Linked DNA regions of Drosophila melanogaster. The protein of the gene in region 2 interacts with the protein of the main gene of each other region in a pairwise test. Each region holds a gene or a part of one and is shown on either strand. Other genes may lie near its edges.

Region 1 (7,533 bases), on a different chromosome or scaffold from region 2:
TATTATACTAATATTTAAATGGACTTCGTTAATGTTTTAAATTTCAAGAATATTTTACGAGTTAAACTTACAAAAATTCATTTATTTAAATGGGTTAATGAACAGTGAGGCCTCATTATTAACGGTCGATTGGTTTGCAAGACCATAGCTTTCCTAAACGGACTGTGCATTTACATTTCTATGGATCGAAGTGACTTAGTCACCTGGGTCCAAACCGATTTGCTCCCAATTACTAGTTATCACGGTTACTCATGTCCGAAAAAATGCGAATATAGATTGTAGTTGACCGAGAGTTTGGTGACTAACTAATGATGGGACTCCCTTCGGCACTAATTTGACTTTTTTCTGTGGATCCACCTGGGTATTGGCCAAAAATAGGAATACCAGGTAATGCTATTTCCATAGCGTTTCCCTTTTCCATTTCGTGGGTGAGTGTCAACAGCTGTTGTGGGCGTTCTAAAGACTATTTACCAAATAGGTGGCCATATATACTATACAAAAAAACTCACCTATTTGAACAGCTAAAAATGCGAATAGAAATCTGGCTATATCTGCCAGGCCGACAATTTATTGATGCCGCTCGAAATGGGATTAGGCGCGCGTGTAGGTGAACAAAATAGCCGCAAAAAAACTATATATCTATATTAAAAAAAATCGGTCTCGAAAAAAAGAGGGCGTTGCTACAAATTATAATGTATGTCAGGGTTTGCTCTTGGCACTTGTTTCGCCCGCCTCGAATGCGAAAGTTCAAAAGATTTTTGCGCACATGTCCAAGACGTTTGCTTGGGCTCTTTGTTTTAGGTTTTTGTTGGTTTTTTTTTGTGTATTATTTGCCCTGCTTGTTGTTTTGGCCAAAAATACTCAATTTTGCACGGCACCAGCGGAGGAGATGCTGTCATAGACGCGCCTTTTATGAGCATTTCGCGATGATGCCATGCGACTGTGGGTTATCTGGGGTTGTATGCTGGCCAAAAATCCATCTAAGCCTTATTAATTGCTGGCCACGGGTTGAGAACAAGGTGAAAACATTTTTAATTGCGGTTTCGGATAATCGCGGATTACACTTTTTGAACGTACTAACAATGGTAGCCATTATTTTGGGTATTTAATTGGAGGAGATAAAATGGGATAACATATTGTTGATACTTTTATACTTGACACACAAAACACAACAGAAGATGCAGATAAGAAAGTGATTCCTAGTTGTGATTGTTTCTATTTTCCTAACATCTTTAGTTGGGAAAAACAAAATTACTGCATAATTACAATATAGTTTGTAGTAATCAAATATTTGCTATTGGATAACTTGTCATTTCAGAAGAATTAGATAAGATAACAAAATACAAAACAATAATATTTGTACTTCAAATGGAAAACAATTTGGACTTTGTTAATTTGTGGATAAGGTTAAAGGAATGCAACAAGTGTAAATTATGTCCAATCCAATTGATATTTTAAATACATTGAAAGTAAGTATTGCGAATTTTATATATTTTTACTAAGTATTCAAAACATCCATATACTGTGAAATATTTTCGAAACGAATCATGTAGCTTAAATGGAAATAATTGACTTAAACAATGTGTTCGATTAGTCAGTCAATTGCTGTCCCACTTTTCAGACAGATTTTCCCATCCTCTAACCAAAGAAAATCTAGAACTCACCTCACCCACGAATTTTTGTTGTTTGATTGGCAACCGATTGTCGGTTGATTGACAAACTGTTTGAATGTGTGCGAGGAGGGGCAGTGACTTTACGATGACATGGCTAACGACTATTGTATACCCTTGAAACGTAACCTTCTTGCTTCTTAAGCTAATACTATTTAATAATAGCAATTGATTTAGAGAGCATTTTACCTTCGGCTTCAGTTTGAGGAAATTTTATTTATGTTTCTGCCAGCTGATAAGCGGCTGTCGATTGTTTTTTAGGCGCTAACATACGGACAACAATTCAATCAAGTATCCATCACAAACACACGCATTGACAGCCGTGCCCAGATAAGCAAATGGTTGGATAACAAAGGCCTACACAGATAATACCAATCGCAAACACAGGGAAGCATTCGGGTTTGTTTGTATGCGTGAATATTTGCTATAAAGTCGAAAGAAAAAAAGTTTATCGCACGCAAACAAAAACGACCTTCGGTAATGATGCCTTTGTATTTACCTAGCCATATTAATGTCGCGTCGGTTTCTTATTGCCAATTTGCCATTTTAAGGTACAAGTATATTTTCGAAAGCATACACGTTAAGATTCCGTTCTTCTCTTCCTGGGTTTTTATGTGCAACTGCTGCTGCATGATTGTAAATATTTTGGGATTTCATTTTATTTTTCCCTGGCACGCTTATTCATTTCCCGCCTGTTTACATTTTAATTGCTCGGTCAGCACTGGCGTTAAAATTTTTAAATCAAGAAGATCACAAAAGCGTTTTCCCTCGCATTCTCAACATTTGTATCTCTCTTTTTTTCGGTCAGCAAAGTACACCGCATATAGAGTGCCCTACAAAATCTGAGTACTAGTTAAATATTTATTCCAGTGAAATAGACTGATAAAAGGCCAAACAATTAATCTTAATACGCAGAAGTACCGTTCAAGATTGTGGAAAATTTCGAAAATTTTATACGGTGCTCTTAAAACATTCTGAAACAAACTGAAACAAGCGACCTAAAACTTATTTTTAAGTGTATTTATGTTTATAAGCCAAAATAAAATCCTACAAGTTTAAAACATTTTTATTGCTTAGATAATTTATTTACCAAAAAGTTATCACGAATGCAAATATACCTGTGCTGCAGTTACTGCTTCTCCGTAATTGCTTTCTGTTTTGTATAACAACAATAATATTTATTTCATAATATTTACTTTATTTTCCAAACAGTGCATTGTTATTTGGCCGGTAATGTTTACTAATTTGCGTGCTGTTGTCATTGCAAAAAATGTACCAACATGTTACATCTTTGTGCACTTTTGTTTCCGGCTTTGTGACAATTGAGTGCATAAACTTAATTACTGTCAAGATGTCACAACAGCAAGGCAATTGGATGATCGAGTGATATACTATTTGTTTTCAGAGATATAAGGAAACACTATGAAGACTCATTTCATGCTTTATGTGTTCGGGAAATAAAGTTCTTGAACATTTCATGTATACAACACTATTAATTATAGTATTCTCAATTATTCTCTTTTGATTTGTACGTTGTTTACTGCTGGCAGTTTTTTTTTTAAATTTCTTTAAAAATTACGTTTTTTTTTTACCATTCACAACTTTGGCCTCCAACTTAGTGTTTACTCCTTTTCTTGAAAAATGAGGCTAAGAAAGCCTGGGAAAATTACCTACACATCAACAAAGTGTAAACAATGATTTTTGTGAAAATAGACCAAGTTTTTTAACTCGCACACAAAAGCACGGAAATTGGCGAAAGAAACGAATTCAACTAACGGACGAAAAAGCTTAGGTCATTGACCAAAAAAAGAAATAACATTGCAAAGAGCGCTAGACTGCTCAGCTCTCTCTTACTATTTCTCTTTATAGTTCGAACACGTTTTCCAAGTAAAAATCCAACGACGCCACTTTTACCTGCGTTTGTGTGTGTGTGTGCATAGGTGAGTGAGCTCCCCACTCACCTATGCACACACACACGCGAGCGGTACAAAACCATTCTGTTATTTTCCTTGTTTACAAAAGCAACAAAACCAAATTGTTGTTATTGCTTTTGTATTGCTACCAAAGAGGCGCGCTTACGTCATTCATAATATTAAAGCGCAAAGAGAGAGTCTAGAACTACAACAACAGCAATAAGAGCACGAAAGCAATCTGGCACATGCTGTTTTTGTTGGGACTGAAATTACCTGAGGAATAATTTAACCATTTTGTGCATTTTGCGCTCTCTTCTCGACTATTTTGTTTAATCAATTCTTTACGGCAGCTCCATTGTTTTCAGACCGCACTCTCATTTGCGTGGAGCCGATTCACTTGGCACGTTTTAGAAAAAAACAAAACATCCTTTGGTTTATTACTCAGCAAGCATTTGGTTCACTGTTGTCACATTTTAAACAATTAGTTTATTGTATTTGCATTAGGAAACTGTTGGGTTCTCTTTAGATTTCTAAATTCGTCTCTGGTGTGACCAGCTGGTGGAACGGCGAAAATACTATCGAGTATTTGGTAACACTAATGCTTGTACAGAATGTTAACATTTGTGAGTGAATTTTGTAAGTTGGTTAACACCACGTAAAAACTGTGAAACTTATTTAATTAATATATATTATATATTAAAGCATGCTGTCTTTGCAGCAGTGCTGATATCTTTTATAAAAAAACAACTTAAGATGAAAAAGAGGTAAAATATATTGTAAGAGTTCACATTTTCGGTACCTGATTGTTTCCATATACACTTGGGTAAATAAGTACAAAATTCATTTGTCGAGAAAAAGTTACATTGGCACCATTGTATAACAGTTCAAAGTTAATGATGTTTGATGCTGCCAATGTAAATTCTTCAGATAACGAGCCTTGCCATCTTAATAGATTAGGAATACAAGCGTTGCCACCAAAATTTTAACGAACGTATACTCAGTTGTATTCGATGGTTGTTGTCTTGGGTGCATGTAAAAATTAGCAGAAGAGCACTTTTTTGTGTTAAAATTAACATTTCAATAACATTGTAAAATTCTGTTAGGTAACAGTATCACAAATTTAAATCTATGTTATATTTGCTCTGATCTAACTTTTGCAAATTATTCAAGATTATTTTAAAATCCTGACATCGTGGGTATATCTGCATTATTATTAATGAAATGTTGTATTAACAAAATACGGAATGTGGAAATTAGAAAATTTTTTCTTTAAGATAATAGAAAAATTAGTAAAATCTTAATGTTCCCTTTTTAAATGAAAAATGTCTTTTCGAATAGTTCTTATTTACTAAATGTATATAATTTTGATTTGGAAGTGCCACTTCCAAGTGATATCAAGAATTAAGTGCTTGTGGCTAGTCATATCTGAGAAAGTGCATGAAGACTTGTAATACTTTGCCGCCTCTGCTGATTTAAGTATATTTTTAAAAGACAATTAAATGATTTGCCTGCAAGTGTTGCAGTAATGAATGGACCCAGAAGTGTTTGCTTCTTAATTGGCAATTTCCTAATGGCGAAATGCGTTTTGCACCTACTTTAAATGCCACCTTGGCGTATTGTTTTGGCTTAATTTAAATTACCTGTTTGAGTAATGAACAGTCTCAGCCACGGGCTGCAACAATAATAACGCGACTCTCAACTCATTATGCATTGTTTATTGCCACTCAAAGTAGCATTTTCACCCTCTTTCCAGCATTTTCCGAGCACTGCAGCATTACTCTTAATGCATGTGCAACAATAGGAAACTCCACTTCCACTTTTCTTCGCCCACCAACTCTTCTTGTGCACTGATATTTGGCTTTTCGCAGAAACAGTCGGAAAAACAGCAGCCTTTTCCTTAACATTTTCTTGTAAATAAATATCTATTAATAAGAAACTTACATAAATCATTTAAAAGGTGTGTATATATAAAACTATAAATTAAGAATTCGCTATTTATAAATAATTATGAATTGAATAAGTAAATCCCTTAAAATCATTTTGCTAGCAAAAATAGCAATTCAGTTATTGAATGGCCCCATTTTCATCTAAACTGGGATTTTCCCGATAGCTTTTCCTCGCAGCAGTAGGATCAGTGCAGTCACCGGATTTATATTGGCACATCCAGGTGTTCCTGGATGGCAAGTCAAGTCTGGCACTTCATTATGCACATTAAGATACAAGTTCTTTTCGCACTGACGAGGTGGTATCTTAACTTAATTTAACCAACTAGGGGCCAGCGGGCGGTCCTCTGAGGGGGCGGGTTTTCCGTGTGTGCCGCTAATGGGCTTAATAAAAAATGCAACATTTTGATTTAATTTAATTGAAATTCACGCCACTCGAGCAACTCCATTAGGCAGAAACGTGTCCGACGTCAAGGATGCAGATGATGGCAGCGTCGAGGAAATCAAATTACCCAGCGGCAGTGGTTCTAGTGTGCGAAGAGGGAGGCGGGGGTGGTATGCCGCAGGGGGCGGGACTGTGGGCGTGGCCGTTGCCGTGGCTTGTAGCAACTCAAATAAATATTGTCAAAACACTTGTCAAATGGCTAAACAATGGAGCTGGGACGTGGTCAGAGCACGGTGCACTCTTCTTTTCCAAAAAAGGGCGATATCAATTGATACTACACTTCAAAAAATTATGTTTTAAAAAGTATTTTTATCAGAATATATTGTGCCTGTCAATATCCAAGATTAATACCACATATTACTAGGAAAAACTCGAAATCTTAAATAGAAAACTTTACAAATTGATACGAAAAATAATATTTTATTACAATATCTACAATACATTATTTAACATTGTTGCTTATATAAAAAAAATATATACATATATATTTTTTAAATAATTTTTTTTTCACCTGCTCTTTGATTCTAAGTTAAAGACTTCTTCGAGTGTAAGGCGGTCGTGGGTAAAAAAGTGAAACTGGAACTGTGCGCAAATCAATTTGATTCGATTTAAATTTAAAAGCATCTGCACACAGGCATTCATCACCTCCATCACTTGGACAATACCACCCAGAACTCAGTGCCCAGTTCCTTCGTCACCATCAGCCCTATCCATTTGCCATCCTCAGCGATCTTGAGAGTGATTTTCATGTCGGGGTCACGTGCCGCAGACGCGTGCCACTGACATAAGTTTTCAGTTCTAGATTCACAGCTCTTCGCCGAGTTCGAGGAAAACAGGGGACTTGGAATTAAGTCGCGCCACAACCACAAGGCAGCGGGAAAAAAAAGGGTCGACACTTTTCAGTGGGTGTTTTTGGTCGAGCGACTTGTTTGATTTAGTTAAGTTATCAGTTTAATTGTATTAGCCAAAAAGATTTCGTTTTTTTTTCTTAATTCTGCACGCGTGTGTGTGCTGATTAAATAGTATTTATGTTGTGTAGCTACAAGCAGTTGGAAACGCCTTAATCTGCAAAGTGTGGCGGTGACATGGTTGAATAATCAATATAATTACTAGATTTCGCATGCAATGAGATTGTATCTTTTAAAATTATTGTATTAACTTGCTTAATTGCATAAACGGAGTTTTATTGAGTAGCCAATGTTAATATCTTTCCATTTCTTTCTTACCAATTGTGACTCCTTTCCACTTGGCCACTTGAAACGCAGCATTTCCCACGGCTAACTTAACCGATTTGTCCAATCGAAGGCGACAGCCACACAGTGGCCAAGTACATCCTGTTCACCTGTTCACCTGGAGCCCCGTCGCTTTGGAAGTTCTCCAAACTTTGGATCAAATCAGCCGTGGAGGTGTCAGTGTACAAAGGACGCGCCCTGACACGCGTCTGACGTTTATTGGTGCCCTCCAGCTGCAGCGAAAAGTTTTCCCGAGCGAAAAGCCTTTCAAGGAAAAGCCACATGTGGAAATTGTAGACGACAAGCAGACACAACACAAGACACAAAAAT
Region 2 (7,814 bases):
AGCAGTGCCGTAAGTCCGCCAAATCCCCGCCAGAACCGGTGACGTACGCACTGCTGTGGGTTCAAAAAAGGGGACTCGAAAGGCGGGATAACCGTGGCGAAGAAGGGCGGAGGTGGAAGGCGGCGTCGACAGAAGCAATCAAGTGGCAACAGGAGATAGCCGGGGCAAAATGCAAAAAGTTAATTAGTGGGGGCCAAATCAAATCGGACACCCCGCCGAGGGCGACACCATGGAATTCGCCGACCTTATAAAGACCCCCAAGCTGGACGGTGTCCTGCTGCACGACCCATCGAATGCGGGGGCGTCGGGTGCAACAGTTGGCACACTGTGCATCACAGGGCACCATTTGCTGCTCAGCGCCCGCCAGGAAACCAGCCAGGAGCTATGGGTAAGTGGGTTGAGGCCTGCCCACCTAATCCGATGTGCTTCGGCATCAGTGGAGCGCTCATAATTGAATTAGAAATTCATCATGCTCATCCCCCTCTTTTCAGTTGCTCCACAAGAACATCGACTGTGTGGAGAAGAAGCCTAGTTTGTCGCAGAATATCGTGGTCGGTGGGATTATCACCCTGAAGTGCAAGGACCTGCGCATCATTTCGTTGGAGATAAAGTGCGGCAAGGAGTTCTTCAACGTGGCCGCATCGCTGGAGGCACTCAGTGCCATCCAGAACACCGAACTGCTCTATCCATTCTTCTACCGGCCCATGTACTCGATCCTAGAGGACGGCTACACGATGTTTAGGTGGGTACACGGCTTCTCCATAACTAACAAATTGGCTACAATTCAATTAACCTCCCCATCCAAACGACAGGCCCGAGCTGGAGTTCGCCAAACTCATAAGCGGGGTTGGCATGGGCGGTGCGTCCTCGCCGAATGTGGCCAACATAACAATTTGCATGCCATCAACTTCGACATCGACGTTGACTGTGGGCGCCGGCATTCCCCATCCTCTGCAAAATGGCTATGCGATAGAAGCCCTTGCGTGTGGTGTTGGTGGTGTGGGAGGTGGTGCGCTTCAAAGTCCCCAGGCCTCCTGCGAGTGGCGCATCACCAACGTCAACAGAGACTTCAGCGTCTGTGCCACATATGGCGCCACGCTAATTGTACCTAAAGCAATTACGGACGAGCAGATAGTGCTCTCCGCTGCGTTCCGCGATGGCGGCCGCTTCCCCGTGCTCAGCTACAGGCATGAAAATGGCGTAAGTCATTGCATCTACATCATCAAATTTTATTAAATTAATTCAATGATTCATATTTGCAGGCCACACTAATGCGCAGCTCCCAGCCGCTGTCCATTCAGGGCATCAAGCGCTGTAGAGCTGACGAGGCTATCCTTAATCTGGTGCTGGGTCGCAGTCGGAAGGGGTTCATCGTGGACACTTGGGGTAAGGGCAAATCGAATACGGAAACTGACCTGCACTACTCGCAGTGGAAGAAGGTAAATCGTTCAATTGGAAACGTCAGTTCGCCCGCCTCTATTTTGGACAGCTTTGCTCGGCTTATCGAAGCTTGCAACGATTTGGGATGCAGTACTGATAAATGGCTATCGCGACTGGAGAACAGCGGCTGGCTTAGTCTTGTGCTGAACTCACTGAACGCCTCCTGTGTGGTGGCCCAATGCCTGGACCAAGAGGGAAGTCCAGTGTTAGTGCACGGTGCTAAGGGGTTGGACTCCACGCTTATAGTCACCTCACTGGTGCAGATCATTCTCAATCCGGACTGCCGGACTGTAAGGGGGTAAGTAATCATATTCTCCTTACCTTGAAAAAGATATTTATGCCGTGTTCCCTTTGCAGCCTGCAGGCTTTGATAGAGCGCGAGTGGATCCAGGCGGGACATCCGTTCGCCTCGCGTCATCGCTACTCATGCTATACACCAAATCAGACACGCAATAAGACCTCTGGTGCCACCTTCGTCCTATTTCTGGATTGCATTTATCAGCTTTACACGCAGTTCCCCTGCAGCTTTGAATTCAGCACTCAACTGCTGATCCTTCTATTTGAGCACAGTCACTTTTCGCAGTATGGAACTTTCCTGTGCGATTCAGAGCGGGAGAGAAACGAACTGAATGTGCACACCAGGACGACGAGCCTGTGGTCTTATTTGAACCGGCCTGATGTCCTTCAGACATTCTTGAATCCGCTGTACGAGCCTAATGCCAATGTGATATGGCCATCGGTGGCGCCCATAAGCTTAGAGCTGTGGAGTGGTATGTTTAAGAACTTAATATATGAAACATTACTCATCAAACATGCATTTTAGATCTCTATTTGCGGTGGGTGATAGATCAACGCAGCTCAGTCACAGTCATGTCGCAAATTCAGGAACTTGTCACCCGCGAGAAGGAACTCAGGACTCAGGTAAGTCCACTTGAGTATTGATAGCGAAATGCTTACTGATGACATGTATCTTTCAGGCCCTCAAGTTGCGCAAACAAGCCATGGAGCTCGGCCAGGAAGTGTCCAACCTCATGAAAAGTGGAAACGATACATAGTCGGCTACCTCAAATGTTCTCTATCTTTTAATCTCCTGCATGATATACACTTATTTTTGATACGTTCTGTTGCAAGATTTCGACAATTATTTAAGCACATAGCAAAACTAATGTTAAGTCACTAAAAGTTCCATTTACAAGAAATTATGCTGAAGGAAAAAGAAAATAAACAAGGTAATTAAATTATTGGATAAACCATAGGATCTGCTTTTGGATCAACTGAAACACTCAATTTTAGACATACATGTGTCCATTTTTACTAACTATACTTCTATTGCATAAGTTCGGCAAAACAGTAAGAAAACTCTCCTTGTAAAACGCTCTCTACTCTCAGACTCAGATTGGGATTCGAAACAGCACAATGCAACTATCAAATATTTGGGTCAATTTTTGACGCATTTACTTTTATGGAATTTTTAGCGTATAAGTCTCCAAAATTACCTATTTATAGTACTTACTTGTGTCAGTTATTTAGTGGTCAACAAGCCACAGATCAAATTAAGTATTATAAACTCAAAAGATTTGCCTTTTTCGAAAAATTGTATGTAAATTTGATTAAATCGCATAAATTTAAAGCTTCAAAAGCGTTTACATTAAAAATATGCTGTGCATGCGTTGGTATATCTAAAAACAAATATTGTAAATTATATACTTATAAATGTTTGTAGCTGTTATTCATTGTGCGTCGATTTCGTATTGTGATCAAATTTGAAATGACAGAAATTTGTATGTAATTTACATTTGTATTGTGCGTATTTTGAGTAATTATCGCTTAAGTGCAATAAATACGTGTTAATTTGCAAACGTTAGCTCTTTTAAACTCGCAGGATTCTATGAGCACCACTTTAGAAAAAAGAACTTTCAAATGCAGTTTTGTATAAAGAAAATTGGTTTATTTTTGCTAGACTCATTTAAAACAACATTCTGTTGTTTCGGTTCACTATTTATTTCGCTGTAAAAACGTATATAAAACTCACTTTAATCAAGTACAATTAATCCCCAATTTTCGATTGTACGCAATCCTCGACAACAATAACAAATTAATTTGAAAGCAAATGTGTTCTTCAACGAAAGAATGCAAAATGAACGAAGGAAAGCTGAGGAGAACATAGAGAAACGAGCTGTCCCATCGAAGTTGCCCGTGATCCTGTCTTAGTTGCAGGCTTCGTCCTCCAAGAAGAAGAACTGGCCGGAGCGTTTCTGTTCTGTGTCCTTGACCGAATTGTTTTTGTTAATGCGGGGTCTGAAGTTGTTGGGATCGCGACGGAACGTAATACCAAGCAGTTCGAGGAAGCGGTTCATGCCATTTAGCAGCGACTGCGGCGAAAAGGCTGTCGTCTTCACTGAAGGCTGACCCTCGATCACGATGACACGGTCGGCGAGGTAGGTGGCCATGATGAAATCGTGCTCCACCACAAATCCAGTTTTCTTGGCGTGCAGAATGTAACTAAAACGAGATACCATCAATATTTGTGTGCAGATTTAAAGTCTATGTAAAACATACCGTTTGATAACCTTGGCGGCCACCAGACGCTGCTCTGAATCCAAGTAGGCAGAGGGTTCGTCGATGAGGTAGACATCCGCTGGCTTGCCAAGACACAGGACCAAGGCGACTCGCTGCAACTCACCACCGGAAAGGTTCTGCACCTCCTGGTCCATGATTTCCTCAATTTTCATGGGTTTCATAACATCGGCAATAAACTGAGGATGCACGTAGGCGTCACGAATCTTATCGTGCAATAAATGGCGAACATGATTTTGGAATTTCGGGGAAATCTTCTGGGGCTTGTAGGAAATATTCAGCATAGGCAGTTCCACCTCGCCATCGGGTTGGAGGTTACCGGCCAGCATGCGAATGAACGTCGTCTTTCCTGTACCGTTCTCGCCCAGGAGCACCAGGATCTCGGAGTCGCTGAAGTGACCCTTTTCCACCGTCAACTCGAACTTGCCCAGGGTCTTGACCATGGCGGGATATACGTAGTGGTTCATGCGCTTGATCTCCTCCTCCGTAGCGGACTCAGATACTTTGAAAGTAAGTGACTCAGTGCGGAATCGCATGTTTTCGGTGGGCACAAAGCCATCGAGGAAAATGTTGATGCCTTCGCGCACAGAGAAAGGCATAGTAACCACACCGTAGCAGCCGGGAACTCCGTAAAGGCAGCATATAAAGTCAGACAAGTAATCCAGCACAGACAAATCGTGCTCCACCACAATAATAAACCTGCATATTACAGAACCACGTCATAATTTTAAACAATGGCACATTATTCATCAACTTACTTGGTGGGATGCAGGAGTGATCGAATGGTCAAGGCAGCGTTCAGACGCTGCTTAACATCCAAATACGAGGACGGCTCGTCGAACATGAAGATGTCTGCATTCTGTATGCATACCATGGCGATGGCAAAGCGTTGCAGTTCTCCGCCAGAAAGCTGAGCGATCTCACGATCACGGATGTGCGATAGATCCAGCATTTCACAAATCTTAGTCTGCAGCTCCCTCTCGTCCTTCTTATCCAGAAGATCGCCCACAGCGCCACGCACCGCCTTGGGGATCTGATCCACATACTGCGGCTTGACCAGCGCCTTCAGATTGTCCTCCAAGATCTTGGTGAAGTAGTTCTGCAGCTCGGAGCCGCGGAAGTAGCTAAGGATCTCCGTCCAGTCGGGCGGATTGGCGTACTTCCCCAGGTTCGGCTTTTGTTTCCCCGCGAGGATCTTCAAAGCGGTCGACTTGCCAATACCGTTCTGTCCCACAAGACCGAGCACTTCACCGGGACGCGGAATGGGCAGACGATGCAGCTTGAAGGAGTTCTTGCTGTATCGATGCGTTGTGTGCTTCTCCAGATTGCTGGGCAAGTTGATGATTGTGATGGCCTCGAAGGGGCATTTCTGGGGAATTGAAAGCACGGGTTATTCCGGGAACTACAGCAGTTGTAGGTAAGCTGACCCACCTTGACGCAAATACCGCAACCGATGCACAGCTCCTCGGACAACGAGGCTATCTTGGACGTGGGCGTCACCTCGATGCAGAGCTTGCCCATGCGCACCACTGGGCAGGTCTTCTTGCACTCCTGCCGACACCGTTTGGGCTTGCACTTGTCATCGCTGACGATGGCAATACGCGTCTGCTTGTCCACCTCCTCGTTCTCCTTTCTGCGCGACATGCTGTTGATAGTTTTCAAATGAGCAAATTAAACAGAATTGGCTTCGATCCACTAATCAGCCGCCTATATGATAATCAGTCCATTGTCAACGTTGCAAATCACCATCCCCGACCGTCAAAACAAAACTGGTGCACCGATTCATGGACACAAGAGCGGGGGTGAGGTGCCAGCGTTTGTCAGTGAGTGAAAGTATAACCTCAAAGCGTGGCCAAAACAATGGGTTTCCACCATAAATTTCTATTGTCTCTCATGCGTCAGGCATTGTTCTTAAATTTCACGTTGACAGAGTGCTGAAATATTTGAAATTTACCTGCGAACTTGGCCGAAATTGTTGTAAAACAGACAGAACGCACGCTCTTGCGTGTCAGCCAACAAGTTTCAAAAGGGGGGAGCTTTGATGAGTTTCTCAACACTACTACGAATAGGGATGCGCCGTTGAAACTATCGATATCAATAAGTGGGCTTGAATTTCGTATAGCATGTTTATAATTATTTATTGTTTTGTGCAGTTATTTTTACATAACATAAGTTTTATAATGTTTCAGGGATTTTATTTAAAGTAAGCTTAGTGACAATCAAATAAAATTTATAACTTCTATCTCTCAATATAGGAACATGTAATTTCCGAACTGATAATATATCCTATAAATAAATATAAATATATATCGCACAAGAGCCGCTCTTAATAATATCGATTATTTAGTGTTTTTGACAATCCCATTGGAATTGCAATCACTAATTTTTACACGTCGTTGATTTGTGTCGACTGCTAAGAAAATGGTCGTGCAAGAAGATAATCCAAATACTGGGGACGTTCAGGAAAAGACGGAGACTGCTCCGGTGGCAGAGCCCTCCAAGATCTTCACGGTGGAGAGTAAGTGCCCCAATCGCCTACAGCCAACTGCCAGGTGGCCCAGACGCCCAACCATTTAACCTAAAATTTAATGCTAATGCCCTGAACTTTCACTCCTGCTGCAGTTCTGCACATGATTAAGGATGCCCAGCAACAACACGGCCTGCGCCACGGCGACTTCCAGAGGTACCGCGGATACTGCAGCCGCCGCATCCGTCGATTGAGGAAGGCCCTGAAGTACCCCCAGGGCGACAAGCGGCACTTCAAAAGACGCGACGTGACCATTGGCCAATTGACAGGCAAGAAGGCGGACGAGCGTTTCATCCACATCCCATTGATCTGCGCCGAGCGGGCCTGGGCGTATGCCATGCAGCTCAAGCAGGAGTCCAATACGGAGCCGCGAAAGCGTTTCCATCTGGTCAACAAGCTGCGCAGGGCCTGTTTCTATGCCCTCCAGCTCCAGGAGTTGTGTAATGTAAGCTGTAACTCACTGTTATGATTAATGTTTATTGAGCTTCATTTATAATTTTCTTGTAGACGGAGGCTTTCGATGCGCGCACTAAGCTAGAGTGCGAAGCCTATGTTGCCTGGATGCACGGAACCCTGCACTTTGAGCTGCAGCTATGGAAAACCGCTGGCGAGCACCTAAAGCGCGCCCAAGTGGTGTACGAAAACCTGGGCAAGGCTCTGCCCGAAGATGAACAAGAGCTTTACCGCGCTAAGGTTAATGAATTTACGCCCAATCTGCGCTACTGCGCCTACAACATCAGCGGTGGCGCCAGTGGCGGCAAGATCGACGAGATCCTGGAGCTGCGCGCTCAGGGAGTGCTTGAGAATCTTGACGTACTGGTCAGTCAGACAAAGACGGAGAGCAGCGAGGGCCTGCAGACGATCGACTGGCGCGGTCGCAAGGTCACCGTGCGTCCGGAGAAGGTGCGTTTGTTCCTGCTCAGTGCTCAGGAGTTGGACAAGTCGCTGGCCAAGACCACCAAGCAGGATGCCAAGATAGAATTGATTGAGCGTATTTTGATGGACTGCAAGGATGCCATCCAGGCCGTTCGCGACGAAATCAAACAGGATCCCAAGCTGCGTTCGTTAACCACCGGTCAGACCGTATCCGGCGTACAATATCTACTGGCATATTTAAGTTATATTCGCCATAGCCGTACACTGCAGCGTAATCTTTGCCTAGTGGAACAGGTAGGCTCGTAAACACAACGTTACTTGGTTATCTTATGCAAAAATATTTCCTCCCCAGGCTAAGCTCAACTTTTACGATCCCAACCTGCAGTCTCAACAA
Region 3 (9,567 bases), on a different chromosome or scaffold from region 2:
AGATCCCTGTGGCATCGCCTGCTTGGTAGTCACCTACGGAGCAGTTCTGTACGCGGACTATGTGGTCATCCGTTGGATCATTCTGACCACCATGCCGGGCAGGTGAGTAATGCATACTGTACGCACCATGACGTCATTATATATATATCTACCCACTTGGCGACAGCCTCTGGATGTCCTTCCATGTGGTGCTCTTTAACACCGTCGTCTTCCTGTTGGCCATGTCCCACTCCAAGGCCGTGTTCTCCGATCCAGGCACTGTGCCGCTGCCCGCCAATCGTCTGGACTTCTCCGACCTGCACACGACCAACAAAAACAATCCTCCGCCCGGTAATGGACACAGCAGCGAATGGACCGTGTGCACCCGCTGCGAAACGTATAGGCCGCCACGCGCCCATCATTGTCGCATCTGCAAGCGGTGCATCCGGCGCATGGATCACCACTGCCCCTGGATCAACAACTGTGTGGGCGAGCGCAATCAGAAGTACTTCCTGCAGTTCCTCATCTACGTGGCGCTGCTGTCGCTCTACTCCATTGCCCTTATCGTCGGTTCCTGGGTGTGGCCCTGCGAGGAGTGCAGCCAGAACGTGATCGAAACCCAGTTGCGAATGTAAGTTTCGTATGCCACAGCAACAATAGCAGAAGCTAGAGCCTTATTTGGGTTTGCCTTAATCGAATGCTAAGCGGAATGCAATGCAAGATGGAAAAGTAGTGCTTTGTTAGTTCTTAAACAATGAATGCGTTACTTGGCCACGCAATTTTAAAGTGTATTATGAGTCATATATAACTTATATCCCTCCGTTGCAGGATTCACTCGGTTATCCTTATGCTGGTGTCGGCGCTGTTCGGCCTGTTCGTTACGGCCATCATGGTGGACCAGCTGCATGCGATTCTGTACGACGAGACGGCCGTGGAGGCGATACAGCAGAAGGGCACCTATCGTCCAAATCGGCGCAAGTACCAGCTGCTGGCGGATGTGTTCGGACGCGGACATCCGGCGCTGTGGCTGCTGCCCTGCACCAGTCTCAATCATGCCTCCCGCTACCATGATACGCCTCTACTGAGCCACGAGGTCTAGGGTCAGGAAATATTCTTTATATTTTGTCCTTGCGTTTGCTGTGCGGCTAAAAGAGCCCCCGAGTGTTTTTAGTTTTTAATCAATGTGTGTGTGATTATTTTTAAACGACCTATCCCCCTGCCCGCAGCCAGTCAAATTGAATCGTATTTCGTTTTGTGTATTATATGCAGATTCCAACTTAATTTATGCTTTAGTTTATAATGTTTTAAAATTATAAATACATAGAAAGCAGCAGCGTGGCGGCCAACAGGAGCATACTCAAAATGAACACGGCTATTTTGTAAGTAACTTTTTGCAGCTGCTTGCTTTAGAATGCCAGCGAATGTTGCGTTGATTATTTGTACACCGATGCATTCTTTGGCCACCCGGTGTATTTTTTACCAGTATCCAAGTAAGCAGCACCTTCTAGTTTGAGACGTAGAAAAATCTCAACTGTATACAATACTACATAGCAATATGTACCGAGCTAGAAACTAAGTCCTTATCAAAAGCATTTACGATATACCCGAAGAATGACGCATATACCAAAAAGGAAATAAAACGGAGATTAAACACTCAAATAGAAAATACTGTGCATCATTAGTTTGTAATAATTGTAATCACTGTTTAGTTTTGTAGTTTATTGTTCTTTTGACATTTACGACCATCGACCAGCGCACCAATAAGATTTTAAATGTAACACCAACATCAGCAGTTTGTGTCCCTAGAAACCCAGAACTGTTCCCAATAAAGCTAACCGATATGCATAAGTCAATCAATCGAGTTCGCTTCCCAGTCCCTCGACGCTCAGTGTGAGCTGTTTCAGCGCCTGTTTGGCCACAACGCACAGCACTCCCTCCTGGGAGCTCTTGTCCTCGAACTCCAGGATCTCCACACACTCCTTCAGCAGATCTATGGCGTCGACGAGGCGGGCACGCAGCTCGCCGCCCTTCAGCTTGCCGGCTATGAAGCCACTTTTGGCCAGCAGCACCAGTGGCACGTGCAGCTCGTAAAGATTCATGGCGCGTGTTCGACTCAGACCCGGTTCGAAGGTGTTCAGCACTCTCAGCACTTGGCGGCATAGCTCCGCCTTGCGCTCCAATTGGTGGTCCGGCAGTTGCACCATCTCGTAGCCCTGTACTCGCCCGTACATCTCGATGAGCAACTGCCTCAGCCCGGTGGCTATAAAGTGCAGCGGATGCAGCAGTGATTTGTACTTGCGCAACAGTCGTTCGATCTCCTCCAGCCGCTTGGCTGCCATGGGCAGCGCTTGCACGGCATTCACCTCGGATTGCAGGGATTGGAGCATCGCCAGTGCATCCGCATTGCTGGTGTCGGAGCCACAGTTCGCGCAGTTCCAACTAGTGTCCGGTTCTGCGTAGTGGATAAGGTCAGCTTATCACTTTCTAGAGGATCTTTTTCGCTCACCTGTTGGCTGCCTGGGCACTTGGAATCCCTCGGCGCACTGACCACACTTCAGGCTGGAGAAGTGCGTTCCCAATTCGGTGGGATCCAGACAGCGTTCGCATTGGCAGGTGAAGAACTTGCCCTGCTTCAGGTGCTTCTGTCTCTGGGCAGTGCCATCCAATGTGTAGGTGTAGCTGTGGTGCAGGGGCTGACCCTCCTCCAAGTCCACCATGGCGCGCAGTCGGATTCTTTGGAAGAGAAACAAATATAGGAGGACTTATTTTAGATGTGCAACAGCGGAAATGTAATTCTAGACATCTTGAACTAGAGAACTGAATTTACAAATCTATTTACAACTCACTTGTATCCCTCGCTGGGATAGATGCTCCTGGATGTGTTGGGCACGCAGTTGTGGGCCAGAATGCCGGTATAGGGAAAGAGGCACCTCAGTGGATAGCCCTTCGGGCTGCGCGCCTCGAAGGCGTTCACCTCCAGCACACCCACCACCTGCATGATCAGCTCCTCGCTGAATCGGTTGGCCAGTTGGCAGGGACCGCGCAAATACTGAGCGATATTAACGCGATCCGCATGCCAGACATCCGCGTCCCTTTGGCGCTCCTCCTTGTGGTGCTCCATGGGTGCCACCTCGTTGTCCCATCGCTCCGGATTCGCCTCCTTGGCCAACAGAACTCTGAAAGTAGAAAGTTTAAAAGGGTATTCCAAATGACAATCATATGAAGCACAACAAGTAACCTATTGATTATAATTAGCTACATTAAATTAAAAATCTTTCTCTTTTTTAATTGTTAATGAATCCTTTTGTATATAACTTTCATCTTGAGCGGATAAAATAGTGACGCTATCAGTTTGCCTGGTGCCTGGTGGTCTATTTTTGTTCCACCCGCTGGGCTTCACCTGAGCGGCATAATACAGTCCAATTGCGGACAGTGCCTGCTGCCGCTGGGCAGGCGGAAGAATCGTGCCCGAGCATCCTTCAGCTGGCTGCACTCCAGGCGGAAATGGGCGTTATCCGCTTGTTGGGCGCACTCCACGCACAGCGGCCAGCCACATTCGCTACACAGCTCCTCCTCCGGATCTGGGTTGGGTTCGTAGCAACCCAGGCACACCACCGGTCCATTGCACTTGGGCCCGACGGCAAAGGGCAGCTCCTCGATCAGCAGACCGTGGCCACGGATCGCTCCCTTGGCCACCAGATAGCGTCCGCAGACCGGACTCCACTGAACCGCTGTCCTATTCACCGACAGCGTTGGCGGCGATGTCATTTCGCTGACTGATGCCGGCTGGCCGCACTCAGATCTCAGATCTCATGTCATGGGCACACCCCACAGATGATGCCTCCTCCCCACTACATGACTACATTTCTGCCTGCTCCGACATAAAGCATCAAAATTGCTGGGCACAGTGGGCATGCGAGGTCCTAGGTGAGAAATTTTAGTTTTGAACAAATTGTCTTGAGAAAACATTGTTCAATTTCTATAATAACTAAAATACCTTACATTTTCATAAATTAAATAATTTACTGGTTGTAACTTTTAAGTTGCTTGTAACTTTTAAGTTGCTTGTAACTTTTAAGTTGCTTGGCTTTGTTAGTTCTATTTCTAAGTACTAAGCACCGATCTATTTAAACATGTGCTTAACATTATTTAAATAATAATTCACAGTGCTTACAGTTCAGTTTTGCTACGAAATATATAAAAACATGATGGTACATTGATCATAACGCGCCGCAACTATCATATACCAATTATTCTGTCATAATAATATGTACAAATATGGCTTGTTTCATGCCATAATTTTCTCCTTACTTTCATGCACTTTAAATTTAGCTATTTATTTTTTATTTTCTGTGCGATTTGCTCCACTGTCCCTTTCACAGACTTGTTAATCCATCCGTCCGCCTTCTTTGACGTAGAGTCGCCATGAGAATCTGTATATGCCGGCTAGCCTGCGAACTGCGAGAAATGGGCCGCTGCTGCCAAAACTAATATTCGGACAGACCGCCCAGGTTCCCCTAGTAGCACCCAGTAGCCCCTGCTGTACGGATGTACCCAGCACCATCACCCCCGCCCCGCTGGAGCGCCCGCGAACTAACCTCAATATGGTTATGCAATCCAACTGCGGGCAGACGCCATCATCGCTCACATTCCCGGCGAAAGTGACACGTGCGGCGGAGAAGACCTGGCACTCTCCGCGGTGCTCCGTGACGTCTTCGTCGTCGGCGCACGATCCGCACAGCGGCCAATCGCAGAGTTCGCAGCGGTCCAGCGAATCGCCGTCCTCTCCGAACTGCAGGAACTGGTAGCAGCCCAGGCACACGATTCCGCTGTCGCGCTTCGGTCCGCGTGCGAAGGGCAGCTCCTCCAGCACCAGCTCGCCCCGCTCCACGGAGCTAGAGGTGGCCAAGCAGCGTCCCAGCACGGCGTCCTCCTGCAGACGGGCCTTCAACATTCTGTCGCCGCACGGCAAATGCACTGGTCTCGCTTTTGGCCCATCCGAATGGGATTATGCGGTCGATTGGCGGCCCTGCACGCAGATTCGTCTAAAAATAAAAAGAGCATCGCACACACTTCATTGGTGTCAATCAATAAAGTTGTAATATATTTATTGCATTTTGATTGCTTTGGATTATAACTTTTTTAAAGCCCATTTACTTGTCCACAACTTTAAAGTTTTCGTTTGCAGGAAACCCTTTTATGTAAAAAAAAAACACTTTGATGTAAGTTAATTGTTCTTAAGATAACGAATTTCTTAATAGAATGATTGAATTCTAATTTCAATAATTATTTTAAGTAACCGTTAGTTTTCAAATTTCCGTTACAAAAAGTGTGACCATTGCCATTAAGAGTGACGCAGCGTTACCAGATAGTATATCTGCGGCTTGTTTTAGGGAATAATTATTGGACGAATTTTTAGGGTTGGTAACACTAAGGCACAGAATTACAAAATTTTTTGGTGTACGTTTGTCGTGGTGTCTCTGTTCCTCTGCGTTTCGCATTACACTCTAACCAAACTAAAACTCATCAAAAGTAAGTAGCTCAGGAGTAAACCCCCTCAAAATTCAGTGAAATGTGATGGATACCCCTATGGGTAGAAGGAAAATCAGGATTTTCGGTGCCAGTGATTTCATAACCTCGAAATGAAAAAATTGCAAGTAGACACGCGCATGAACGAAAAGCAAAAGGGCTGAGCACTTTTTTGTTGGATGACGATGGGCGAGCTTCTTATCACCAAATCACGCAATAATTAATTGATAAATCCGAAATTTAAAGGGGATATTAAGCCGGTTAGCTGTCACACACACATCCACACATGAACAGTCCACGCACACCAATGCCTTCGCAGTTCATTGGCAGCAGCTGCCGGCGAAAAAAGGGGGCAAAGAAGCAGAGAGATCGATGGAAAAGTGCCTGGCGAATTTCCGTTACGTAACGCATGTCGCATCAATTCCGTTCGTTATCGTCATGTTGCCATCCACCAGCGTGCAGCTCGCTCAATAAACATTTTCGATTTCACTCTTTACCGTTCTTTATCGTCGTTTTGTTTGTTTGTGGTCATGTGAGGAGGTGGGTGCACTTCGCGATTGTGGGTGGTATTTTCGCAGTGACGTCACCTGGAAAATCAATAGACCACCTTTTCGGGCAGCTATTCACTTAGCTTTCCACTTTCCCTCATCGATTTCCCTGCTGTTATGCAACTGTCGAAAAAATGAGCTGCACATCCACCCAACCACCCCCTTTATAATCTGCTTGTCAAGGTCATCGTCAACGAGATGCTGATTCATTTTCACCGGGACATCCACCTGATAGTATTATTTTCAGCATCTAGTGACCAGGTTATATCACCTGACTTCCGGAACAATAAGAGCCCATCCCATTTAACGTTTGGCTGCCGGCCATAAAGATTTTTGTCTGCTGGCCGCTGCTTTTCATAATTTTCTGCCTTGATTGCCTTGAGTTTCCCCCCACCAATCCCCCCGAACACAACATGAAATATTTATATTGTTATATCTATATAATAATTTCAATTAGATGTTTTGGGTTATTTTTGTTTGATTTTTTTTATGCTCAATATCGGATAGAAATTTATTTATCCGCGACTAATATTCCTACCGCGACTGTGAGTCGCATTCCTGACGTCACGCAAATAGAAACAGCGAAGCAGTGACCACAGCAGACGTTGCAAATGTGCAGTTAGCTTCTGAGTCAATGATCGCTAGCCTAACGGGACTGAACTGACCAGCAATTAATGCCAGCAAGAACGGAACGTAAACATAGAGAGAGGCAAACCTGTGGCCAGATAAATAGGGAAAATCTCAGTATTTTTATTAAAATTTTAGTTTAAAAAACCTATAAAAATATTTGAAAAATAAATTTTGATTTAAATGGTTTTGCATTGGTATAGAAAACCCTTAATTTCTTGGAGTAAAATAGACTTAGTCACTATTTGTTTTCTATCTTCGCTTCTATTTTTTGCGCCACTTTATTTTGCCCAGACGTGCATTGACCCCCTCCTCAGTCACTCAGAATTTTCGCTGCTTCAGTTGGTGATTCTTTGCATGTGGCCGCCTTGAACACTAATCTAAATTGATTTCTTTATTTTCGCCGCACAAAATTGACATTTAGCCAAAGTGAAAATGGGGAAAAAGCCCTCGAAATTCTTGGGACATGTTGATGCTGTTTTTTGGCGTCTTTTAGTTTTCACTTTTCATTTGCGGCCGATAGAACATTTTGAAATCAAGTCGAGCAAAAAGTAATAATCATTATGTTGCTGATAAGATTAAACTTATCGTTCGCTAAACGCAATTAATGACCTGGCGAGTGAAATGATTTCGCAATAAGTATCATCGTCATGATTATCGATTATTCACCAACTAATTGAAGGTGCGATTTAATGCATTCCATTTCAATCCATTCCAGATGGCTCCTCCATCATACAGCGATTTGGGCAAACAGGCTCGCGACATCTTCAGCAAAGGCTACAACTTTGGCCTGTGGAAGCTCGATCTGAAGACTAAGACCTCGTCGGGCATTGAGTTCAACACAGCCGGACACTCCAACCAGGAGTCTGGAAAGGTCTTCGGCTCCCTGGAGACCAAGTACAAGGTCAAGGACTACGGCCTGACCCTCACCGAGAAGTGGAACACAGACAACACGCTGTTCACCGAGGTTGCTGTCCAGGATCAGCTCCTCGAGGGTCTGAAGCTGTCCCTGGAGGGCAACTTTGCTCCTCAGTCTGGGTAAGGATCACATGTTATTACATATATGTTCACTGCAGAATAATTAATATTGCATATTTAATTAAAAATCGTCAGAAACAAGAACGGCAAGTTCAAGGTTGCCTACGGCCATGAGAACGTCAAGGCCGATTCGGATGTGAACATTGATCTGAAGGGCCCCTTGATCAATGCCTCTGCCGTGCTTGGCTACCAGGGATGGTTGGCCGGCTACCAGACCGCATTTGACACACAACAGTCCAAGCTGACCACCAACAACTTTGCCCTTGGCTACACCACCAAGGACTTTGTTCTGCACACAGCTGTGTAAGTATTGCAATTGCCACGCATGGCAAATGAAATCAATGCAAACTAATGATTGCCTTGTCCGGTGTTTAGCAACGATGGCCAGGAGTTCAGCGGCTCGATCTTCCAACGCACTTCGGACAAGCTGGATGTGGGTGTACAGCTGTCGTGGGCCAGCGGCACCAGCAACACCAAGTTCGCCATCGGCGCCAAGTATCAGCTGGATGATGATGCCAGCGTGCGCGCTAAGGTGAACAACGCCAGCCAGGTGGGTCTGGGCTACCAGCAGAAGTTGCGCGACGGAGTCACCCTGACCCTGTCCACGCTGGTCGATGGCAAGAACTTCAATGCCGGCGGCCACAAGATCGGTGTGGGTCTGGAGCTGGAGGCCTAAGTCCGTGGTTTTCCGCTAGTCGTGAAATCCTTGAACGTTGTCTAACATCCCCACACGCCCAACAACAACAACAACAACAATAACAGCAGCCAGACAAGTGCAGAAACAACAACAAGATCAAACAAAATAAAAGATACGATATTCTTTAAAAACAAACAACACACAGTCAAATATAAAGAGAATCTGCACATCTTAGCGATTCGATTGGATTGGATTAGTTGTCAGCCGGCCATCACCACATCCGCCCATTCCCTGCCCCAGCCACGCGAATCTGCAGGAGAGACACTGCCAAACAAACGATGCAGGGGGATGGATGGGTGGTGCAATCGATGGGTCGGTCAGGTCAGTCCGTCGTCGTTGGATGTAGCTTTGATTAGTGCATTGAATATTAGCGAAATTGTTGTTGACAAAAGTGCAGTAAAAATACATTTACCTATTAAACGAAAAAAAAAAACAAAATGGAAAAGACGGAATATTATGGCTCAAAAGGCATTGCATTTTTTTCAGTTCTCAAGGCTTTACGGATTGCCTGCAAAATCCTGCGGCGAAACTAGGACACACATAACACCAAAATCACATCCTTAATAACAATCTTTACCTTTTCGTTGTGCATTTACCTGAGAAATAAATCGAGAAGAAATAAATTATCTTGATTGCAGCGTTGGTGGTGGAAGGCTTGGGAATGGTTAGCTTAATTTAAGGATTTAAGCTTGAAAGAAAAAACTGTATAATAAGATAAGTACCTTATACTGATCCCAAGTTCTTTGTGCTTGAAAAACTTAACTTTTTCGGTTGGGCACAGGACTCCGTGCGTTTTAGTTCACAGGTCTCCAGCGTGTATAAAACTCGATACTGATCAGGCAGCGTTAGACATAAATTTTCGGCTAATCGAGGCTGTTGAAAAGTAGACAAAAAATTTCGAAATTAGTCGGGCCATATATACCATACCACCTATTCATACAGCCCGTAATGGCCGCCAAAACACCGACATACCCAGATCTGGGCAAGCTGGCCCGCGATCTCTTCAAGCGCGGCTACCATCCGGGCATCTGGCAGATCGACTGCAAGACCCTGACCAATTCGGGGATTGAGTTCTTCACCACCGGCTTCGCCAGCCAGGACAACAGCAAGGTGACCGGCTCGCTTCAGAGCAAGTACAAGATCGAGGAC

Evidence for each region.
Region 1: the proteins of pix (region 2) and raw interact in a two-hybrid assay, tested with the Drosophila melanogaster proteins (one large-scale study listed by BioGRID).
Region 3: the proteins of pix (region 2) and SmydA-3 interact in a two-hybrid assay, tested with the Drosophila melanogaster proteins (one large-scale study listed by BioGRID).

What each region holds. Positions count from the first base shown.
Region 1 is NT_033779.5:8,736,529-8,744,061, forward strand, and holds the start of raw (raw), read right to left. Parts: upstream 4,133-7,533; 5' UTR 3,886-4,132; coding exon of another isoform or gene 3,857-3,885; intron 1-3,856.
Region 2 is NT_037436.4:8,968,686-8,976,499, forward strand, and holds pix (pixie), read right to left. Parts: upstream 6,081-7,814; 5' UTR 5,972-6,080; intron 5,733-5,971; exon of another isoform or gene 5,663-5,732; 5' UTR 5,662-5,662; coding exon 5,449-5,661; intron 5,387-5,448; coding exon 4,776-5,386; intron 4,717-4,775; coding exon 4,000-4,716; intron 3,943-3,999; coding exon 3,648-3,942; 3' UTR 3,371-3,647; downstream 1-3,370. Other genes in the region: CG5026 (uncharacterized protein), read left to right, coding at 230-388, 492-742, 813-1,200, 1,263-1,738, 1,798-2,210, 2,264-2,361, 2,418-2,495; Srp68 (signal recognition particle 68), read left to right, coding at 6,439-6,535, 6,640-6,989, 7,052-7,714, 7,773-7,814. UniProt on the Drosophila melanogaster protein: Plays a role in translation initiation and quality control of translation. Together with pelo and HBS1, is required for 48S complex formation from 80S ribosomes and dissociation of vacant 80S ribosomes.
Region 3 is NT_033779.5:10,846,698-10,856,264, reverse strand, and holds SmydA-3 (SET and MYND domain containing, arthropod-specific, member 3), read right to left. Parts: upstream 6,125-9,567; 5' UTR 6,006-6,124; exon of another isoform or gene 5,417-6,005; intron 5,025-5,416; 5' UTR 4,934-5,024; coding exon of another isoform or gene 4,578-4,933; intron 3,903-4,577; 5' UTR 3,748-3,902; coding exon 3,380-3,747; intron 3,156-3,379; coding exon 2,826-3,155; intron 2,713-2,825; coding exon 2,486-2,712; intron 2,432-2,485; coding exon 1,833-2,431; 3' UTR 1,661-1,832; downstream 1-1,660. Other genes in the region: Dnz1 (DNZDHHC/NEW1 zinc finger protein 11), read left to right, coding at 1-102, 167-610, 808-1,078; porin, read left to right, coding at 7,402-7,721, 7,797-8,024, 8,097-8,397; Porin2, read left to right, coding at 9,367-9,567.